Ovis aries: one gene and its partner. The protein of the gene in region 1 binds, or shares a complex with, the protein of each later gene. Links are inferred from orthologs where the notes say so. Each region holds a gene or a part of one and is shown in the gene's direction. Other genes may lie near its edges.

Evidence for each region. The genes of interacting proteins can lie anywhere in the genome.
Region 2: POLR2L (region 1) and UBTF share a complex: the UniProt entries of both Homo sapiens proteins name them as parts of the pol I pre-initiation complex. The link is inferred for Ovis aries from reciprocal best matches to the Homo sapiens genes POLR2L and UBTF.

Annotation. Positions count from the first base shown.
Region 1 is NC_056074.1:46,914,903-46,919,143, forward strand, and holds POLR2L (DNA-directed RNA polymerases I, II, and III subunit RPABC5), read left to right. Parts: upstream 1-1,415; 5' UTR 1,416-1,449; coding exon 1,450-1,544; intron 1,545-2,927; coding exon 2,928-3,036; 3' UTR 3,037-3,185; downstream 3,186-4,241. UniProt on the Homo sapiens protein: DNA-dependent RNA polymerase catalyzes the transcription of DNA into RNA using the four ribonucleoside triphosphates as substrates.
Region 2 is NC_056064.1:43,759,328-43,763,500, reverse strand, and holds the end of UBTF (nucleolar transcription factor 1), read left to right. Parts: intron 1-658; coding exon 659-706; intron 707-1,027; coding exon 1,028-1,099; intron 1,100-1,196; coding exon 1,197-1,340; intron 1,341-1,422; coding exon 1,423-1,548; 3' UTR 1,549-3,684; downstream 3,685-4,173. UniProt on the Homo sapiens protein: Recognizes the ribosomal RNA gene promoter and activates transcription mediated by RNA polymerase I (Pol I) through cooperative interactions with the transcription factor SL1/TIF-IB complex.

The DNA of each region.
Region 1 (4,241 bases):
CTCAAGGCCCCATCCCAGCCGGGGACAGGATGTGCGTCCAGTCAGCTTGGGAAGGGGGGGCAGGCAGGGCAGGGAAGTGGCTTCTGCTCGTGGCTCCGCACGTGGCAGGGTGGGGGACGGCGAACCCCGCTGGGGAGGGTGGCCAGAGCCAAACTCCAGACGCAGAAGTGCTGGCCAGCCTCCCTGGGACCTCCACTCCCAGCCCCTTGACTTACAGTCAGAGTCCACCACCCACCCCAGGTGGACTCTGAGCTAAAGCCTGGGACCCAACATGGTGGGCCCACCCCCACCCCCCACCCCAACCAGAGACCCTGACGCCCCAGGCCAGCAAATATGAGGAGACCCTGCCTAGGTGCCTAGCCCACCCTCCTCAGCCCAAAGCTCGCCTCCTCCAGGGAGCCTTCCTTGCTTCTCAGTGCACACAGCCCTCTCCCAGCCGCCAGTCACAGGATCAGGGGGCTCACCTCTCGCCACTTCCCGAGACACAGCCCCCGCCCCCGCCCCCCCCCCGCTCCCTTTAAACCCCCACCGCCTCCAGCTCCCACAGCTTCTGTCCCGCACGGACGGGTGTCTGTCCGGCTCCCTCTTTAAGTCTCAGCTCAAAAGACACCCCGAGTGCCCTCCCGACCCTCAGAGCCGGCGCTCCCGGGTCACTGGCGCCCGCCCCTGCCGAGCGCGGACTGGAGCCTGGGCCGCCAGCGCCTCCCCCGGGAAGAAGGCAGGAGGGGGGGCCAAGCTGACCGCGGCGACGGCCGGAGCCCCCACCGGCTGGGTCGCCCCGCGCCGCCCGCCTGCAGGGATACGGGCAGCTACCGGGCCGGGACCGTTACTGTGCAGGCGACCCGGCCAGGCGGCGACCTCGAGGGTCCCTCGGACTCTGCGCAGAGACCCCCGAGTGCCCGCGGGCAGCGGCCCCAGGCGGAGAGGCCGCCCCCTGCCCGGCCCCTCCGGCCGCTCTCCGCGCCCCAGACCCGGCTCGCAACTTGTTGCTGAAACGCGGCTCGCGCTCTGCGCTCGGGGCCCCAGTTCGCGCGGGCCCGGCCGCACTCCGCCCGCGGCCCGGCAGGGGCGCTGTACCTGCCTCGCGCCCGCCGCGCGGAGTCGGTCGGCCGGGCACGAGGAACGCGAACGCCGCCGCCGAGCCCTTGCGGCCCCGCGCGGACGCCGTAGGCCGGGACGTACCAAGGCGCGGGCGGGGGGCTCCCGCCGGGCCCCGCCCCCGGCCCCGGCCCCCGGGCCCCGGCCCCCGGGCCCGCGCCCGCCGGAGGAGCCGCCGTCGCGGCGGGAGGCGGATGCCGGCGGCGCCGGGGCCGCGGGGAGGTGCACGGGGCGGGCCGGGCCGGCACCCCCGCGCCATGGGCGCGCCATGGGCACGCCGGGGCGGAAGCGCCGGGGGATCCGGGCGTCGGGCCGCCGGGCCGCGAAGCTTCTAGCTCCCGCGCCGCCGCCATGATCATCCCCGTTCGCTGCTTCACGTGTGGCAAGATCGTCGGCAACAAGTGGGAGGCCTACCTGGGCCTGCTGCAGGCCGAGTACACCGAGGGGTGAGGGGCGCGCTCCCGGCCGCCGGCCTGCGGGGCCCGGGGCGGGGAGGGTTTCCCAGCCTGCGCGGCCCGGGGCGAGGACAGGGGCGCCCGGCCTAAGGGGAGGGTTTCCCAGCCTGCGGGGCCCGGGGCGGCGGGACGGGGGCCCGGCCTGCGGGGCCCGGGGCGAGGACAGGGGCGCCCGGCCTAAGGGGAGGGTTTCCCAGCCTGCGGGGCTCGGAGCGAGGACACGGGGGCCCCGGCCTGCGGGGCCCGGGGCAGGGTCAAGGGGGCCTAGCCTGCGGCGTCGGCGTCTCGGGCGGCTGTCGAGGATCCAGGCTTGAGGGGTTGGGGTCTTGAGGCGGCAGTCAGGGGTCTTGGTCTCCAGGTCAGGAGCAAGGGACGTTCATCAGATCCCAGGTGACGCCGGCAAGGCTTTTATTCCCGGAGCCTTTGCCAGCCCTGTTCTCCAGACCTGCTCTCAGGAAAGCGTCTCCCACCCCCCAGTTCAGGCAGACGAGGGGAGCTAGTTGTCAAGCGCTGGTGTCTGGGGACTCGAGTATTCTGGCTCCACGCCTCCACCGCAGATAGGCCCCTGGCCACCTCTGTCCGTCAGCTCCCTAAGTTCTCCCTGCTATTAGGCCCACCCCGTGTCCTCAAAGACACTGATGCTGGGCAAGATGGAAGGCGAAAGGAGAAAGGAGCGGCAGAGGAGGACGCGGTTAGGTAGCATCAGCAGCTCAATGGACAGGAGTTCAAGCAAACTCTGGGAGATAGAGGAGAACATGAGCTCAGCGAGCTGCAGTCCATGGCGTCACGGACACGACCGAGCGGCTGAACAACAAACCGTGTCTTGCAGACTCACGGGCTTTTTTAGTACATAGGACAAGCTTCTGATCACATAGCCGTCATCATCAGGCTTTTGTGGGGTCCCTTTTCCGTGTTTGCCCCTTGGCACTGCAGTTACCGCCTTACTTGTCTGAGTTTACCCTAGACAAGAGTCTGACTTTGGTCCTTGTGTGGACAGCCCCATCCTTATCAAAGTGTGAACCTCTGGGACCTGGAGTGTGGTAGCAGGTGAGGTTCTCCGTGTAGCTGTGTTGGGTGGATAGGGAAGCAACGGACGGCCGTAGTATCTGCACCAGGCTTCGAGGAGGCTGCTGGAATGACCACAGTGCGAGTGAATGCTGGCAGCCTGCCCCAGACTCCTCCCCGAGATGCCCCAGGCCAGGGCTGCCCAAGCGGCCGCCCCTTTTATGGGTGCCACGCTGGTGCCCACACACAGGAGGCTTTGAGGGTGACTGGGGCCGTGTCTCTGGGAGGTGAGGGGGGCTGCTCCCCCCGGGCGAGGCCCTCTGTCTGCCGGGAGGAGCAGGCTGCAGCCAGATCTCTCCCCACCTGCAGGGACGCCCTGGACGCGCTGGGCCTGAAGCGCTACTGCTGCCGCCGCATGCTGCTTGCCCACGTGGACCTGATCGAGAAGCTGCTCAACTACGCTCCCCTGGAGAAGTGAGCCCGCGATGCCGCAGGGGGCGTCTCACCCATGGCTTGTTCCCCTGGGGTGTGGGGCGCCGGAAGCCACGCCCGCCCACGGCTCTGTTGGCGTGGGTCTTCCTCCCTGGAAAGAACTGTCTAGTAAATGTTTCTGAGGACTGCCAGGAAGTCCTAACAGTTGGTCTGGGTTTGTGGGCTGCCCCGCCGGTTCCTGGGGTTCTACCTGGTGCCCGAGGCCCGCACGGCCCAGGAGGAGGGTGGGCCTTCCATACGGGAGTGCTCAGCACGGGGCTCCCTTCCTCTGTGGGCGCTTGGCCCCACAGAAGACACAGATGTCACGAGTGCTTGGGGTGGGGGCACCGGCGTCCCACAGCGCTGTTCTGGGTGCCCTTCAGCCGAGAACAGAGGTCCCCACTTCCTCCCCCGGTATCTAATGCTCCAGACTTTCTGCGCTCTGAGTGGAGTGCTCCCTGTGGTCACAGCTGCGCATCCTGAGGTTGCTGCCGCCAGAAGCTTCCAGGCTCCACCCACAGCAGGCAGGCAGCTCCACTCCACCCCTGAGACCCCACAGCAGGTGGGAGGTGCCCTGAGGCAGCTCTCCTGGGCATCTGTTCTGAATGGGCTCTCAGTGCCCAGGCGTTAAATGCGTTGCCCTGAAAACCAACTAGAGAGCTGTCTGGCGGGGGCGGGGGTGGGGGGCAGCTCATCGCGGTCCAGCTTAGGCTGAGGCTTCAAACCAGAAGCTGTTGCTTTGGCGGGGCTCAGGCAGGCCCTGGTGCCTCCAGCAGCTTAGAGGGCAGGAGGGAGGCGGCCTTCCTGAGGCCACCTGCCCAGGCGTCTGATGGGTGGTCTCTGCAGAGACCAGGCCCAGCACCCTTCTCTGGCCCCACCCTGCCCTGTCGGCAGACGTCCTGCCAGACCCCACCTGACTCGCTCCCAAGACCCCCCTCCCATGCCTGGTCCCTGTGCAGTGGCCAGACAGGCCTTTGGAAACCGCAGCGGTCCAGTCACCCGCTCCCTGGGGTCTCAGCCGCATCACCAGCCCTGCATCCAGGGAACAGCTGAGCTTCTGCGAGGCCTGTCTGCAGCTGGCCCAGCCTCCGTCCCCTGGAGCCCCGTCGGCTCTCAGCTCACACCGCCCCATGTCTGCTTCTGTTGCGGCCCTGGGGGTGGGTCTGTTCACTCTGCGGACAGGACAGCCCTTGGAGACCAGAGTGCCTTTGT
Region 2 (4,173 bases), on another chromosome or scaffold:
TCCTTCAGGGTAATGGTTACTATCAGAGAAGGAAACTGAGGCTCAGAGAGGTGAAGTAACTTACCCCAGGTCACACAGCCAGGGAGTAGGAAGATCCAAGTCAGACTGACTTTTCCTCCCTCCAGCCGGGACCAGGGGATGTCTCCAAGACTCTGGCTCAGCCTCTAGCCTCTGAGCTCCCCTTCTGTGCCTTGCTTGAGCAGTCGGATCTGTAAAGTGGGGAGAGTCACCAGTGTCCTCCCCAGCCACCCAGGTGGGTTGGCCAAGGACCCAGGGGGAATAGCAGGGGTTAAGGGTTCCAGACAATTTGGTGAGCCCCAGATTGCCTTGGCAGTGGCTCTGGGCTTGGCTTCTGGGGCAGTCTTCCGGGGGTGCTTCTCTGAGTTGAGGAAGGCCCTGACTCTGGAGCCTCCATTTGGGTAGAGCACAGGACAGACATGAAAGCAGTCTTAGGACGGGGTAGCTTAGAAAAGGCTTTGGAGCATCTTAAGCAGAAATACTGAGCTGTGTTCTCAGGTCCTTAGGGTTCTCTGCAGAGACCCAAGGAGACTGGGATGGGCGCAGGTGGCATGATGATGCCTGGTGCTTGACCAGTGTGCTCAGTCAGCAGTAGTTTGAGTCATGTTCCCGCCCTCACCTCCTCCTCTGTCTCCCCCAGAGTCTGTCTCCCCAGGAACGTGCGGCATATAAAGAGTACATCTCTAATGTGAGTCTGGGAGCAGGGTGCTGTTGGGATAAGGAGGGAACTTGTGGTGGGGGTGGGGGCTAGGGGGTTGCTCCCTGGTGGCTCAGAGGGTGAAGAATCCGCCTGCAGTTCGGGAGATCTGGGTTTGATCCCTGGATTGGGAAGATCCCCTGGAGAAGGCAGTGGCTACCCACTCCATTATTCTGGACTGGAGAATCCCATGGACAGAGGAGCCCAAGTCCGTGGGGTCACAAAGAGTTGGACACGACTTTCACTTTCTGGGGGGAGCAGTACAGAACTCCTGGCTACTCCCTTTGCCCATGTCCCCATCCCCTCCTACAGAAACGTAAGAACATGACCAAGCTGCGAGGCCCAAACCCCAAGTCCAGTCGGACTGCCCTGCAATCTAAGTCGGTAAGGAGCCCCTCCCAGAACGGGGGGCTGGGTGGGGGGATTTGAGGTGCCTTGAGTGGCATGGCAGGGACCACCGATGTGCTTCCATCCCTCCCAGGAGTCTGAGGATGATGATGAAGAGGATGAGGATGAAGACGAAGAGGATGAGGAGGAGGAAGATGATGAGAACGGGGACTCCTCTGAGGATGGCGGGGACTCCTCCGAGTCCAGCAGCGAGGATGAGAGCGAGGATGGGGATGAGGTGGGGTGGATGGGGCATGGTTGGCGGGGCGGAGGGGCTGCCAGGACGGCCCCCTGGTGACCATACTTTCCTTGTCGCCCAGAATGAGGAGGACGATGAGGATGAGGACGACGACGAGGACGATGACGAGGATGAGGACAACGAGTCCGAGGGCAGCAGCTCCAGCTCCTCCTCCTCGGGGGACTCCTCGGACTCTGACTCCAACTGAGGCTCAGCCCCACCCGGGGCTCCCTTCTCCGGCTGAACACCTTTGTTTCTCCCCCATGTTCTGTCCCCTGCCCCTTGGCCTCCCCCACTTTCTTTCTTTCTTTTTTTTTTTTTTTAAAACAAAACAAAACACGGTGGGGGGTAGGCGCTGGAGGCGCCCAGGCCAGAACTCTGCGGCCTCAGAGACATCAGCCCTGGGGGGCCCTCCAGGGAGCGTACCCATCAGACTGAGCCACCACCGGACTGGTCCAGCCCACCCCCTCTTCTGCACTTGCGGTTTCCGGCATGGACAATGGACCCGGGAGTGGGTCGGGGTTCCCAAAGAGTTCAGTGAGGCCCCCTACACCTGCAGCCCAACCCAAGGGAGGGTGGAAGCTTGAGGAAGACCCCTTTCTTTCCAGAGGGGCTTGCAGCCTGGATCCCTGCATTGGAACTGGAGGCAGGGAACATGGGAGAAGAGGGCTGGCGCCTATGAAGAAATAGGCCTTGCCCCATGGCCCTCTTCTTCCCTGCCCCCTGCGGGAAGGAGCTGCCTGGACCCACTCACGGGGGCGGGGGGGAGGGGGCAGAAGTGTTTTTTATATATGTGTATATATTTTTTTTTTAAGCTCTGAGCTGTCAACGAGACGTTTCCTACCGATCTCGGCTGCCGTCTCTGTTGTCATTTCTGGGAGAGGGAGGGTTTAGAGGGTAGGTTTGGGGCTTTTTTAAAACGGTCTTGATGTGTATGGAAAAGTGTGTGTGTGTGCGCGTGTGTGCGTGTGTGTATGCCTGTGGCCTGTACATAGCATGGGTGCACCTGTGGATGTGTGCAAAGGCACGTGTATTTGTGTGTGTAAGAGAAGGTAAAAGGGTTGTGAGAGCTATGGAGACGCTGACCCTGGTGGGGATAGGTTGGGGTGGCCCTTTTCTCCATATCTTCCGCTTTGCCTGATCTCTGATTCAGTTCGGGTGTACTGAAGCCACTCTGGTGCTTCCTCTGCTGGTCTCCCTCAGCCAGGGCCATTGGCGCTACAGCAAGTCTCCAGTATCCATCAGGACAGTGGGGAGGGGGACAGACTAGGTGAACCTTAAATATTTTATTTGGCGGGAAAGGTGTCTCCAGCTCATCTGAGGGGTCACCTAGCTGCCGTCGGCTCTGAACCTGGGCTTCAAGAGATGTGTTGGAAGCTCTTAGACACCCCTCCTGCCTGCCCCCCATATCCTCCAGCTACCCCACCCCCATTTCCTTTGATTTCTCAGGTCAGCTCCCTTCCCCACCCCATCTCCCCAAACCCACAGCTGAGGGAGAGGTCTGCAAAAGCTGCTTTGACAGCTGTCCTAACCCTTCCCAGCCATCCCCCAGATTTTGGAACCCTGATTCCTAGACTCTCAAAAAGCCAAGCCACCTAGTCTCTGTGGGTTTAATTTTTGTTGTTGCTTTTGATCAAAATTTTTTTAAACAATCATGTCAGTGACCTATTTAATTGGGGGTTTGTGCTTTTCCACCCTCCCCCTCTGAATGAAAGGCAAGAGGAAGAACTCTTGTCTAGGAGGTGTGGTGGGAAAGGTGGGTCCCGCTCACAGAGGAAGGTAGATAATCTGCTTTGCCTCTCGGATGTGGTGCTGGGGGTGGGAGGAGCTAGTGGGGGACACTCCCTACTCCCCACTCCCCTTTCTTTGTCCTGCTTCTGGAATTAGGTACAGGGGTTCATAGGTTCTATTTCTTCTCAAGAGCCCCTGCAGAGAGCCCCATTTCCCTGTTCCAGTGCCCCTGCGCTGTTGTGTTTTAGTGGAATGTGTTTTTCATTTAAAAACAACTTTGGGGCACTTTTTTTTCCTGTTTTAAAAATTGAAAAATTCTTACAGTACAAACATAGCTGTGGGGGTGGGGGTGTGGGTGCTGTAAGAGGTCACTCTGAGTGCATTTTGGCACTGGGATGGGATGACTGGGGTGGGAGGACCCCTGCTCTCCCCCCCAACCCCGTTTTTTTCTAATATTTAAGAAGTGTTTTTGTAGGTTTCAACAACAACCACAACTTGAATTTGTATCATGGGAGGTGGGAGGGAATGGCTTAGAGGTGTCTGCCTAAGCTTAAGGCCAACTGTGGAAGTTTTGTTTTCCCTTTTTTTGTATAATAAAGTAAAAATACAAAGATTTGACTGCTGTCTGATCACTGGACTCAGTGAAGTGGGAGTGGTGGCAGAGGTGACCCAACAGGCTCAGTGTGGTAAGACCCTTGAAGGCAACTTGTTTGCCTCTTCTTTCTAGAATCATCTTCCTCATTCCTGAAGGCTCCATAGCAACCTATTTTCACATTGTTTTGTGCTACTGTTCTTGCACGTTCTCAATTCAGTTTGTTAACTTAGGTAGTCAGACCACTAAGGACTGAGAATTTGGAAAACAAATTTTCTCCCAGCATGCACTGCCTTGAAAAATGAAGGTGATGAACCATTAGGGTCAGGGGTTCACCCTGATCATGTAAGGGCTAATCATTGGGAGTTGGGGTAACCTTGAGCCCTCAACCTCACCAGAGTGAGAAAAGACTTTCCTAAAGGACCCAGACCTCTGATGGGAAGTGGGCTGGGCCAAGATGACTCACCCTCTGAGGTTAAGGAAGACAGCCTTCCCTCCACAGGCCTCGGC